Macaca fascicularis: one gene and its partners. The protein of the gene in region 1 interacts with the protein of each later gene in a biochemical or structural test. Links are inferred from orthologs where the notes say so. Each region holds a gene or a part of one and is shown on either strand. Other genes may lie near its edges.

Evidence for each region. The genes of interacting proteins can lie anywhere in the genome.
Region 2: the proteins of STX4 (region 1) and SNAP23 form a complex in vitro, tested with the Homo sapiens proteins (4 studies listed by BioGRID). The link is inferred for Macaca fascicularis from reciprocal best matches to the Homo sapiens genes STX4 and SNAP23.
Region 3: the proteins of STX4 (region 1) and SNAP25 form a complex in vitro, tested with the Homo sapiens proteins (3 studies listed by BioGRID). The link is inferred for Macaca fascicularis from reciprocal best matches to the Homo sapiens genes STX4 and SNAP25.

The regions. Positions count from the first base shown.
Region 1 is NC_088394.1:29,214,241-29,218,394, reverse strand, and holds the start of STX4 (syntaxin-4), read right to left. Parts: upstream 2,801-4,154; 5' UTR 2,543-2,800; coding exon 2,513-2,542; intron 2,336-2,512; coding exon 2,234-2,335; intron 2,145-2,233; coding exon of another isoform or gene 2,123-2,144; coding exon 2,023-2,122; intron 1,887-2,022; coding exon 1,812-1,886; intron 1,375-1,811; coding exon 1,304-1,374; intron 1-1,303. UniProt on the Homo sapiens protein: Plasma membrane t-SNARE that mediates docking of transport vesicles. Necessary for the translocation of SLC2A4 from intracellular vesicles to the plasma membrane.
Region 2 is NC_088381.1:19,102,884-19,107,011, forward strand, and holds the start of SNAP23 (synaptosomal-associated protein 23), read left to right. Parts: upstream 1-1,328; 5' UTR 1,329-1,388; exon of another isoform or gene 1,389-1,439; intron 1,440-4,128. UniProt on the Homo sapiens protein: Essential component of the high affinity receptor for the general membrane fusion machinery and an important regulator of transport vesicle docking and fusion.
Region 3 is NC_088384.1:77,140,275-77,144,279, forward strand, and holds the start of SNAP25 (synaptosomal-associated protein 25), read right to left. Parts: upstream 2,801-4,005; 5' UTR 2,444-2,800; intron 2,436-2,443; exon of another isoform or gene 2,154-2,435; intron 1-2,153.

The sequences.
Region 1 (4,154 bases):
ATCTGCTCTGCCTTGCCCCTTCTCCTGAGACCTTAAATATGCTCATTCCTTGGAGTTCCTTTTCCAGAGATACATCTGCTCTCCTGGTTCCAGCTGCACCCTTCCAAGATGCCCAAGCTGTTTCATCTTCAATCTGGGGTCCTTGCTGAGCCCTGGGCTCAACTACTCCAACCCTGACCTCTTGGTATCCTCCTCACTGGGGACACAAAGAGGGCCAGTCAGATCACTGCAAATCTCCTTACTAAGATATCACCCCAGGGGCCGTGCACGGTGGCTCATGCCTGTAATCATAGCACTTTGGGAGGCCAAAGCAGGTGGATCACTTGAGGACTTGAGGTCAGGAGTTCAAGACCAGCCTGGCCAACATGGTGAAACCTCATTTCTACCAAAAATATAAAAAACTAGCCAGGTGTGGTGGTGTACGCCTGTAATCCCAGCTACTTGTGAGGCTGAGGGAGGATTATCGCTTGAAGGAGGTGGAGGTTGCAGTCAGCCAAGACTGTGCCACTGTACTCCAGCCTGGGCGACAGAGAGAGACTCCATCTCAAAAAAATAATAATAATTTTTTAAAAAAAGATATTACACCAGGGGAGTTCCTCTTCAGTGTCGCCCCAGGGAAGTTCCACTTCCTGACTTCTTGAATTCCACCTGTGGGACTAAGGATGTCCCTGTCACACAGATAGCAAACCTGCCAGTCAATTTGTGACTTCTCACTCTCCTTCCCTGGGCAGCGCCATTAGCCACCAGATCCCACGTGAGTAATGTCTTTATCCCCTATTGAACCCTAACTCCTCATGTTGACTCCTAGAAAACACGTGTCCCAGCTGGGCGCAGTGGCTCACGCCTGTAATTCCAGCACTTTGGGAGGCCAAGGCAGGAGGGTCACCTGAGGTCAGGAGTTCGAGACCAGCCTGGCCAACATGGGGAAACCCCGTCTCTACTAAAAATACAAAAATTAACTCGGCATGGTGGTGTCCGCCTGTAATCCCAGCTATTCAGGAGGCTGAGGCAAAAAGAAAAGAAAACGTGTCCCACAGTCAAGCCTAGGTCTTGTCTGGGGTCAATAAGTAACTTCTTATTGAATGGAAGAAAATAAAGCAGGGTGTTATAACCGGACTGAGCATCAGGAGACCTGGTTTCCTGACCTTGAGCAAGTTCTTTCTCTCTCTGAGCTCAGGTTCCCCACTTGGAAAAATCATCCAATTGGACTCCATGACCTCTACAGGCCCTTCCTTCATACATCTGTCATCTACTACTTCATGAAACATTTGCTGAAATGTCATTTCTGAGAAAAAAAACCCACCTGGGTTTTTCTCATTCTTGTGTTGATGGAGTTATAGTTCTCATCAGCTTCCTCCTTCTGGGGCTCTATGGCTGTGGGAAGACACAGGGGTATTGGGGGTACTTGTCTCCATAGGATTTTTAGGGAAATATAATTTATCATAAAATGACTAAGGCTGAGCCTCCAAGAGGAGAAAGTAAGTTTATTTTTCTTTGCATTACATCACTTGAGTTCCCGTACGAATGCAGAGGCCACCTAACAAAACCCCATCTCCCTGCCCAAAGAATGCCCCAGTGGGCAGTGATAACTGTGTAAGTAAATGGTTTCATTGTAAATAAAAGAACCTGAGAGACTGCCTTGTGCTGTGGAGAGTACAATGGCCTGGAGGCCAGAAGACAGAGATGCTAGAACCAGGCCTGCTGTGTGACCTGGATATATCACTGGCTTCTCTGGGCCACACACTCCCCAGATATACCAACAACAGGGCAGGATCAGAGGGAAGGATCTGCCTGAGGTCCCAGTAGCTCACCCTTCAGCTGCAGGCGGATCTCCCTCCCCAGCTGTTTGATCTCGTCGCGCAGGTTCTGCAGCTCCTGCTTCATGCCTGAATAAGAGAAGGCCACGACTCCCAAACAGCAGCCCCCACCTCAACAAACCACCCTGGCCACCACCTGCGTGGAACTACAACCCCCACAATCCCTGGGGCGGAGCATGCGCTATGCAGCCGGGGTTTCACTCACTCTCCTCAGGAAGGGGCGTGGCCAGGATGGTGACCTGCTGTTTCTCCAACTCCTGGACTTTATTCCCCAGCTTGACAATAGTCTGCCGAATTGTCCGGACCTGGGGAGGGTGACCGAGAGGGCTGAAAGAGATATGGGGTACTCCAGACCACGCTGCTCCTCGGGTCCTCCTACCCCCTCGCGAATCCAGGCCAAGACTCCATCCCCTTACCTTCTGGAAGAACTCCTCGTCCGGGCTCCCCAGCCGTGCCGTGCCCGGGTGCACCACCAGCGCGACTCGCTCCTTGTCCTCTTCGTCCGAGCTGTCATCCCCCTGCCAGGCCCGGAGTCATTGGCACCACTGTTTCGCTGCGGCTGTCACCCCGCAGGACCCACAGGCTTCCGGGACTTTCCTTCCTGGCCATCAGCCACCCCTCCCTACCCCGAAGACCAGGAGTCCTGCGTTCCAGTTCGTCCGCGCGCCCCCATCCCCGCTGCCCTGGCGTCTCACCTGCCTCAGCTCGTGGGTCCTGTCCCGCATGGCGGCCTGAGCTCTCCCTCCCCGGCGTCAGACCGGGAGGCCGGCAAACTTGGAATACCCGTACCCCACTCACACTCTGACACTCCCCTCCCTCCCCCTGTGGACCCCAACACCCCCACGAGCCACCAGAGCCTCCGTCCCTTGCACCGCCCACAGTCAATGGGAAGGCGCCGACCCCGGGGACCCCCCAAGGTTCCACAGGTTGGAATTCCCTTTTCTTCCCCCCTCCAGCTCCCGCAGCCTCAGCCCCGCCCCTCCGTGATAAATTCGGGGCATGCGCATATGGTCGCGTCTCTTCCTCGCCCGAGGCGCGGAAGGTGGAGTCGGAAGTTATTGCGCCCCGAGCGGAAGCGGAGCTGCGTGGACGCGAGAACTGGCTACCGTCACCGGAACCGTTGCATCTTCCAACGGAAATCTGGTTGCCAAAAGGGGTAGGAATACGTCATTTGTACGTAATCTGAGGCACCCGCATCTCATATCACCCCATGGTGCCCCCACCGCGTCACGTGAGCAACCCGGTCCCAAACTCGTGGACCGCAGAATGTGACGCTGTGACTGTCACGTGTCCCGGCTCGGTCAGCGCCGTCTCTGGGACGCTGTTTTCATCACGACGTCCCCGGCACTCCGACCACCGAACGACGCCCACACGGCCCCCGCGAGGTGGGGAGGGGCGCGCCCACCACTCCCAGAGGCCTTTCGAGGCAGTGGGTGGTAGGACCCTTGCTGACTTCGCCTTTATTGCTTTCGGGTCCAGGGGCGTGGGCGGACTGACGACTTAGCATTTGGGGCTGTCAGCATCATGGGACCTTGAAAATCGGGAAATAATAGGATCCGAGTCGTCAGCGTCAGAAAATTGCAGGGTTGTGTGGGCAGGGAATCTAGGGGTGGAAAGTGACCTCAGCCAAGGCAGAAACCTCTTCTTCCGCATCCTCCTGGCGCAGCCTCTGACAGGTGGGCAGCCAGCCGGCGCCCTCCTTGAACACTACAGCCCGGCTGCACTCACCACCTTGTGGGCTGTCAGACCATGTCAGGGCAGCTCAGGCTAAGAAAAGTGTCTCTGCACGCTGCCTTCCCTGCCACTCACACCCCCCAGACCCTGCCTTGCATCTGAGGCAGGTAATGACTTTGTTCTTAACTGAATCTGGGGAGTTCCTAGCTCAGTACCAAGCACATTACGGGCCCTCTATAAATACTTGTGGACAGAATCTTAGCCTTTCATGTATCTGAGGATGAAGACCCTGGTTCCTTGGCCTTCTTTAGGCTTCAGTCTTTCTGACTGTGACACTTCTCTAATCCTGGCTATCGAGATATTCACTCATTTTTTATTTTTAAAAATTTTTACAAGATGGGGTCTCACTATGTTGTCCAAGCTGGTCTCTAACTCCTGGGCTCAAGCAATCCTCCTGCCTCAGCCTCCCAAACTGCTGGGATTACAGGCATGCACCACCATGCACAGAACATTCATTTAATGGATATTTTTGGGCACATACTATGGGCCAAACACTGTTCTAGGGCTGGAGATACATCAAGGACTAATAGATAAAAATTCCTGCACTCGTGGAACTTAAATTCTCTAGAAGGAGTCCCCAAGGTCATTTAGTAAGTCTCAGCA
Region 2 (4,128 bases), on another chromosome or scaffold:
TATAAAAATACAAAATTTATATATATATATATATATATATATATTTTTTTTTTTTTTTTTTTTTGAGACAGAGTCTTGCTCTATCGCCCAGGCTGGAGTGCAGTGGCTCGAGCTCGGCTCACTGCAAGCTCCGCCTCCTGGGTTCAGGCCATTCTCCTGCCTCAGCCTCCCGAGTTGCTGTGACTACAGGCGCCCGCCACCACGCCACCACGCCCGGCTAATTTTTTTGTATTTTTAGTAGAGACGGGGTTTCACCGTGTTAAGCAGGATGGTCTCGATCTCCTGACCTCGCGATCCGCCCGCCTCGGCCTCCCAAAGTGCTGGGATTACAGGCGTGAGCCACCACGCCCGGCCATATTTTGTATTTTTAGTAGAGACGGGGGTTTCTCTATTTTTGCTAGGCTGGTCTCGAACTCCTGACCTCGTGATCTGCCCGCTTCAGCCTCCCAAAGTGCTGGGATTGATTACAGGTGTGAGCCACTGTGCCTGGTGAAGCACTTTATTTTCTTGATTTCCAGCAGTTTGTTTTATTCTTAGAGGTGCATGGAAGGGTTCCTGCAGCAAATAGTTTACAATAATCATCCATCTGCTTAAAACTCTTCAATAGTTTTCAGTGCCCATAGTACAAAGTGGTCTAAAATTCCAAGGCCTTCCAAAATCTAGCGATTGTCGGCCTTCTAAAGCTTTCTTCCCTCTACACTCTGGGATGTACGATTAGCTCTAAGCCTCTTACAAGGATGAACTACTAGAAATTTCCAGAAGGCGTTATGCTGTTCTCGACATAAGCTGTTTCCCAGAGCCTGGAAAACTCTAGCTCTTTCTCTGCCGGATTTCCGGGGGAACTCCTACTTATCCTTCAGGACTCAAGTCACTTCCTCCGGGAACCCTTCCAGACACCCCTAAGAATAAAACGCTTTGTTCATTATCAGCCAAAGGCGCCTCAGATTTTCTATGTGCTATGCACTGTATTCTATTCACTATAAATTTGTTTACATATCTATATCTTAGTCTAGACATATTGAAAGACGCTGAAGGGCAGGGAAAGCATTCTATTCGCTTTCTTTTCTTCATCGTTCATCCAGCACAGTGCCTGGCACACGGTTTGCCCTCCGTAAATGTTTATTGCATGAACACCTCCCAGCTTCGGGCATGACCGGAATCTATCCGGTTAACTGGTGAATTCCCAGACTCTCCGCCTGCGTGGCAGGGACATTTAAACCCCCAGCACCGTGATTGGCTCCAGCTGAAGGGGTGTGTCCGTGTCCTCGGCGCACGGGATGTGCGCAGGCGCGCGGGCTCGGCGCGCGCAGGCGCGACTAGGGCGCCGCGCCAGGTCCGGTGTTGGGGTGTCCGAGCTGCGGCTGGAGAGGAGTGGCCTTACCCGCTTGGTGAGTCTCCAGGAGTGGGACGGAGGGAGCTGACCGGGATGAAGTCGGAGAGTATGTCCTGAGAAGAAAGAGTATATCGTATTGGTTGAAAAGTTGGTGGGGTCGGGCTTAAGCGGAGGAGGGGGCGCTCTGGCCCTTACTGGGCAAATGGGCCCGGAGCGAGGACGGGAGGTGCCGTGAGAACATCGAGGGGCCAGTGGAGGAAGGTGGCTGGATGGTGATTCTCTGGACCCTTCCTCGAAATTAAACAGAGATCACCTCCCGTCCCTCACCCCCACTGTGTTGCTGTGGTTGACATTAATAGACTGCATGTCTGGTGACCACGGTGACCAGATAGCTCTGAGATAATGGCTTGAGGAAGGACTCTCAGGTTCCTGGTATTGGATAGCACTTTCTCTGTAGAAAGGTTCAGCCTTACCTCGCGGCACAAATTAGAGGATCAGGAAAAGAATGAATTCCACAATTCGGGATTGTAGTGGTGGGGGGAAAAAGTACTGTAAAGTGCAGTTTCATCTCGTCCTTTTTTTCTTCTTTAATCATTAGTCACCACAATGTTAGGAAAGGCAGTTGATGGTAGGAGAAAACGTAAAGACATAAAAGTAGGGGAGAAAAAAAGTCAAGAAGGGAGTATCACTTTGCCTTTTGCTATTTGTCATCTCCTGGAATGGAGTCTGTATTAGACCGATCTCACACTGCTATAAAGAAGTACCCGAGGCCGGGCTTGGTGGCTCATGCCTGTAATCCCAGCACTTTGGGAGGCCCAGGTGGGAAGATCACTTGAGATCAGGAGTTCGAGACCAGCCTGGCCAACATGATGAACTCCCATCTCTACTAAAAATACAAAAATTAGCCAGGCATGGTGGCATATGCTTGTAATCCCAGCTACTCCGGAGGTTGAGGCAGGAGAATTCCCTGAACCTGGGAAGCAGAGTTTGCAGTCAACTGAGATCATGCCACTGTGCTCCAGCCTGGGAGGCAGAGTCAGACTCCATCTCCAAAAGAAAAAGAAAAAGAAATACCTGAGACTGGGTAATTGATAAAGGAAAGACGTTTAATTGACTCTCAGTTCTGCATGGCTGGGGAGGCCTCAAGAAACTTATAATCGTGGTGGAAGGCAAAGGAGAAGCCAAGTACCTTCTTCACAAGATGGCAGGAGAGACAGAGTGAAGGGGAAAGAGCCCCTTATAAAACCAGTATCATGAGAACAGCATGGGGGAAACCACCTCCATAATTTAATCACCTCCCACCAGATTCGAGATGAGGTTATGGGTAGCCAAACCATATCATTCTGCCCCTGGCCCCTTTCTTTCTTTCTTTCTTTCTTTTTTTTTTTTTTTTTTTGAGACAGAGTCACCCAGGCTGGAGCGCAGTGGCGCTATGTCGGCTCACTACAACCTCCAACACTTCAGCCATCCTCCTGCCTCACCCTCCTGAATAGAGACTACAGATGCATTCCACCAAACCTGCCTTTTTTTTTTTTTTTTTTTTTTTTTTTGAGATGGGGTCTTGCTCTGTTGCTCAGATTGGAGTGCAGTGGCATGATCTCCGCTCACTGCAACCTCCATCTCCCAGGGTCAAGCAGTTCTCCTGCATCAGCCTCCCAAGTAGCTGGGATTACAGGCGCCTGCCACCACACCTGGCTAATTTTTGTATTTTTAGTAGAGATGGGGTTTGGCCATGTTGGCCAGGCTGGTCTTGAACTCCCGACCTCAGGTTATCCACTGGCTTCCACCTCCCAAAGTGCTGGGATTACAGGCGTGAGCCACCGCACCTGGCTAATTTTTGTATTTTTTAGTAGAGACGGGATTTCACTATATTGGCCAGGCTGGTCTTGAACTCCTGACCTCATGATCCACCCGCCTCGTCCTCCCAAGGTTCTGGGATTACAGACGTGAGCCACCACTCCCGGCTCCCCTGGCCCTTTTCTAATCTCATGTCCTCACAGTTCAAAACACAATCATGCCTTCCCAACAGGCCTCCAAAGTCTTAACTCATTCCAGTATTAACCCAAAAGTCCAAGTCCAAAGTCTCATCTGAGACAAGGCAAGTCCCTTTTGCCTAGGAGCCTGTAAAATCAAAAGCAAGTTAGTTACTTCTAAGATGCTATGGGGGAATAGGCATTGGTAAATGCTCCCATTCCAAATGGGAGAAATTGGACAAAACAAAGGGGTTACTGGCCCTATACAAGTCCAAAATCCAGTGGGACAGTCATTCCATCTTAAAGCTTATTTTAATCTCCTTTGACTCCATGTCTCACATCCAGGGCATGCTGATGCAAAGAGTGGGCTCCCAAGGGCTTGAGCAGTTCCGACCCTGTGGCTTTGCAGGGTTCAGGCCCAGAGGCTGCTCTCCTAGGCTGGCATTCAGTGCCTGCGGCTTTTCCAGGTGTATGGTGCAAGCTGTTTGTAGACCTGCCATTCTGGAGTCTGGAGGATGGTGGCCATCTTCTCACAGCTCCACTAGGCAGTGCCCCAGTGGGGACTCTGGGGGGGCTCCAACCCCATGTTTCCTTTCTGCAACACCCTAGCAGAGGTTCTCCTTGAGGTCTCTTCCCCTGCAGCAGACTTTGGCCTGGACATCCAGGGATTTCCATACATCTTCTGAAATCTAGACAGAGGTTCCCAAACCTCAATTCTTGACTTCTGTGCACCTGCAGCCCCAGCATCACGTGCAAGCTACCAAGGTTTTGGGGCTTGCAGCCTCTGAAGCAACAGCCCAAGCTGTACCTTGGTCCCTTTTA
Region 3 (4,005 bases), on another chromosome or scaffold:
AAAATAAAATTGTGAATTCTTGGGAGATTCTGCCATGAAGAGGTTAAGAGGATTGTCAATTATTCTGTAATTTGAACACTGAGGTGGTAATGCAGTAAATATCGATGAACAAACAGGCATCAGAGGGTCTGTGTGAATGACTCCTGGCTCATCCTATGTCCATCTGCTCCTGCCTCTTCTCACCGCATTGCCCTGGATTTTAAAAATTCAAACTTAAAATAGGAAATTTCTCAATTTTTTCCCCAGAAGCTGTCAATGATATAAATATTAAATTCATGGTTCAATGATATATTTTTTGAAATTTCTCAGTAAGTTATTCTAAAATTAGCTTTCTAATTGTGCACATTGCTTCTTTCTCTCAGCTCTGTGCCCTTTGACATCTTCACTGCAGTCCTCTACTTCCCCCGCTCCTCCCCAGTCTTCCACTAGCAAACAAACCCAGCAGTAATTACTAATGTCCAAGCACGTAATTCCGGCAGCATTAGGCTTTTCATTTGACGCAACTACGCAGACAGCTGTCTGGACATGCAGCATGAAGTTAAAGCATTTTAAAAAATTCCTACCCATATTTTCTCTCCTCTACCACTAAAACACAGTTGTTTATTTTTGTCTGCAGATTGCAAAGTTATAAACTTCTCTTATACATTTACATACTCTTATATAAATGTCCATCCAAATAATTTTACATCCATGCACAATAACAGATCAATATATACAGACATGGAAACACATAGTCATCTATAAAAAAAAAAACACTAGGAAATAATTAAATAGCTGGGAATGAAATCACCTTCTGTATATGGACAGGAAATTTTAGTATCTGTAGCATACGGATGATAGGAGGTATGACTATTTGAACACAATCCAAGGTCTCATTTGGGGTCTTTTAAGGGGATCATGATAGCGTTTCTTTAATGTGTTGTATAGATTATTACAATGACACTGTTACTCTTTTTTGCTAACTACTCAAATGGCATAATTTTGACACTGGTCATTTTTATGCCAGTTTTATCTATATCAAACAGAGAGAAATATCACTGATGACTTTTGCTCTCTCAGATACTCCAAGCCTCAGAGTAGAAAATGGTTAAAGTAGTTATCACCACCTCAGCAAAATCCCGCAGTGCCATAAGAGAAATTGCAGTAGATCTTTAGGTCAGAGTTCAGTTCTAGTTTAACACCATGGTTCTTTACCTGCGTTCCCCTGAAGGACACACTTCGATTCTCCTGAGGAAGACCAGTCTTAATGTTGTCAAAATCTAAAGCTATCAGCCTGTGATAACCAGTGCTGATAGGAAATACTTCCAGTAATTCAGAAACCATGGCCAAAGAGATTAAATCTATTCAGTACAGGACAAGCAAAATTTCTCAGATATGTGTTTTTGTGGATGAATACTTGTGTTCATGCCTGATTGCAAGGATGGGGGAAGAAGGAAAAGGAACAGTGATTCATTCTTAAAGTTGATTCTGCTTAGTTAAGCTAATCTCACATTTCTATCAAATGGAAACATAGAGATGTATCATCCCTATAAACAGATAGCATTGGCTTCTTTGTATATACAGTACTCACACTCACCCAAGATCTGTAGACAGATCTACTCTGTGTTAAAAAACAAAACCAAACAAAAATCTTGATACCCTGCTGAAGGATAAATGCCTATTTTTTTAAAAAATGTATTTATTTTCTACCTAAAATAAGGGTCAGAGGGCAACATAGATTTCCACAAGTAGACTATTATTTTGTTGAAGCTATGCAGGAGGTGAGGAGGGGAAACAGGAAATTGTCTGTAAAGGAGTCTCTGTGAGCAAGATTTATTTCTTTCTTGTTTTCTTTTAACCTACTATGACTCCTCTATTAAGGGTCCCCGTAAGACCAGGGTCTCAGAGAGACAATTTGGTCTCCAGCCCTCGCACATCCAGCCCTGGCCAGGCATTTCTGCCGCAGGCAGATGCGGCGCTGCGGCCGGACCGCTGTCCCCGGTGCTGAAAGGTCGAGGGCGCCCGCGCGAGCCCTCGGTATTGCTATCCAGGGTGCTGAGCGCGGGCCGCCGCAGTCCCCGAAGCCAGCCCACCCGCGCCAGCCCTCCGCAGAGCCCTCCCACCTGGCACGACCCGCCCGCCTCCCGCCAGCCTGCAGTTGACGTGGAGCAGGCGGCATAAATCAAGTCTGCGGGGCATGGAGGCTGCTGTCGCTGCAGCAGCTCAGCTTGCCCGGGGCGGGAACTCCCCCTTTCTCCTTTCGCTTCCCCAGCACCCACACCCTGCCTCCTCCTTAATTCTTCCCTGGATAATAGTACCCTAACGACAACAGTCAAAATAATAGGGTTAGAACGACGGGGGGGAACCCAACAGCCTAAATATCTCTGAAAACTGCATCGCAAAATGGAAGAAAGAGGGGGTCCCACTACTGTTTCAAAAGAGTAAGTTATTATTCGGTACGTACCCTCGCTCTTCCTTCCCGTCGCTCCATTTGCAGGGCTCCCGTTTCCCCTTCCCCCAGCAGTTCACCTCGAAAACACTTTATAAAGCCCCCACCAGACGTGCACACACGGAATACCGCACCCTAAGTGCACCAATACTTGTATTTACCCAAGCCCACTCGGAATGCCCAGCTGCTGTCCCTTCTGGGTATGCAGCCATCCCGAGCCAGAACCACGACCTGGGGAGGGGGCTCCTTACCTGGGCTTCTCGGGAGGGTTGTGTTCTCCGGGCCTCTGCAGGTTGCAAGTGTGGAGGAGCCGCCGAGCAGGGAGGGAAGGAAAGACAGCGCCTGACCTCCCCGAGGTTTCGTCTTCAATGCAACGTGAGCTCTGCCCTCATCAAAGATGGCCGTCCGTTTTGACGTCAGCAGCTTTTAATAGCCGCCCGGCGAGGGGCGGGAGGAAGTGGGGGCGGGGCTCCGGCGGGGGCGGAGGCGGGGCCCGGGCTGCGGCGCGCTTGACTCGGCTCCCCGGCGCTGCCCTGCAAACCTCCGTGTTTTCACCTCCTATAAACACCCAAAAGGGGCGACTCTTATGACTCCATTTTAACACTCGGTCTCGGGCAAAAGCGTTCATCCCGCAACTGCATTCTTGATGTTCTTTGGTGTGTGTGTGTGTGTGTACATATGTGCGTGTATATATATGTATGTGTGTATATATTTTATAATACATGTATAATATATGTATAATTTGTGTGTGTGTGTATATTTTCCCCCCACCCCCACCCCCACCCCCTTTCAGTGGAATCGGTGATTGAGTCATCTAAGGAGAGGGGAAGGCAGAGGGGGGTAAAAGGTAGTGATGGGAGGGGTGGGGGAAATTTCTGCGGCGATTTGTTTTCTCCAAAGAGGGTCCGGAGGGGCATCCCCGTCCACCCTCGCCAGTTCCATATATGGCCAGGCTACGTGGGTTGCTATTTTTATGAGTGATTGCTTCATGTTATCGAAGCAGCGCCGAGGGCTTGCAGCTCTCGTTGCTGTGGTCAGCCGGGGAGCGAGGCTGGCGCACGTTATTTTGAAGTACGTCAGAGCCAGGCTCTCTGAGCTGTTGCAGGAGTCGGGGGAAGGAGAAGGGAAGCGGAGTTAGCCCAGCCAGCGTGGGTTTGCGAGGACTCGAGGCTTGAAGTTGAGTTGTTTGCCGAGGGCAAAAACGGATGACGCTGCTTTGGGTGGAATTTGCAGTCGGCGCTGGGGTTTCGTGCTGGGTGTCTTAGGGGTACCCCACAGAGGCACGGACGCCCCGAGGGAACTGTCCAAACGGCCAGGAGGAGGTGGGGGCTTCAGAGCAAGGACGGCTGGGACGCTGCCGAATCTGGTGGTTCACTCAATGCGCAAACCCCGGGTACCCGTGCAGGCTGCCTCAGGGGGCCCTAGGATGCTCAAATCAGGGCGGGGAGACAAAGGCTACTTGTGCTGATCATATTAGAGATTAAAAGTGATAATTATAAAGCAACAATCCTAACTGTCCTCCCTGGCCGTGCACGGGCCTGGGGAGGGGGTGGTGCGCGGATCGCTCGGCGGTGGCA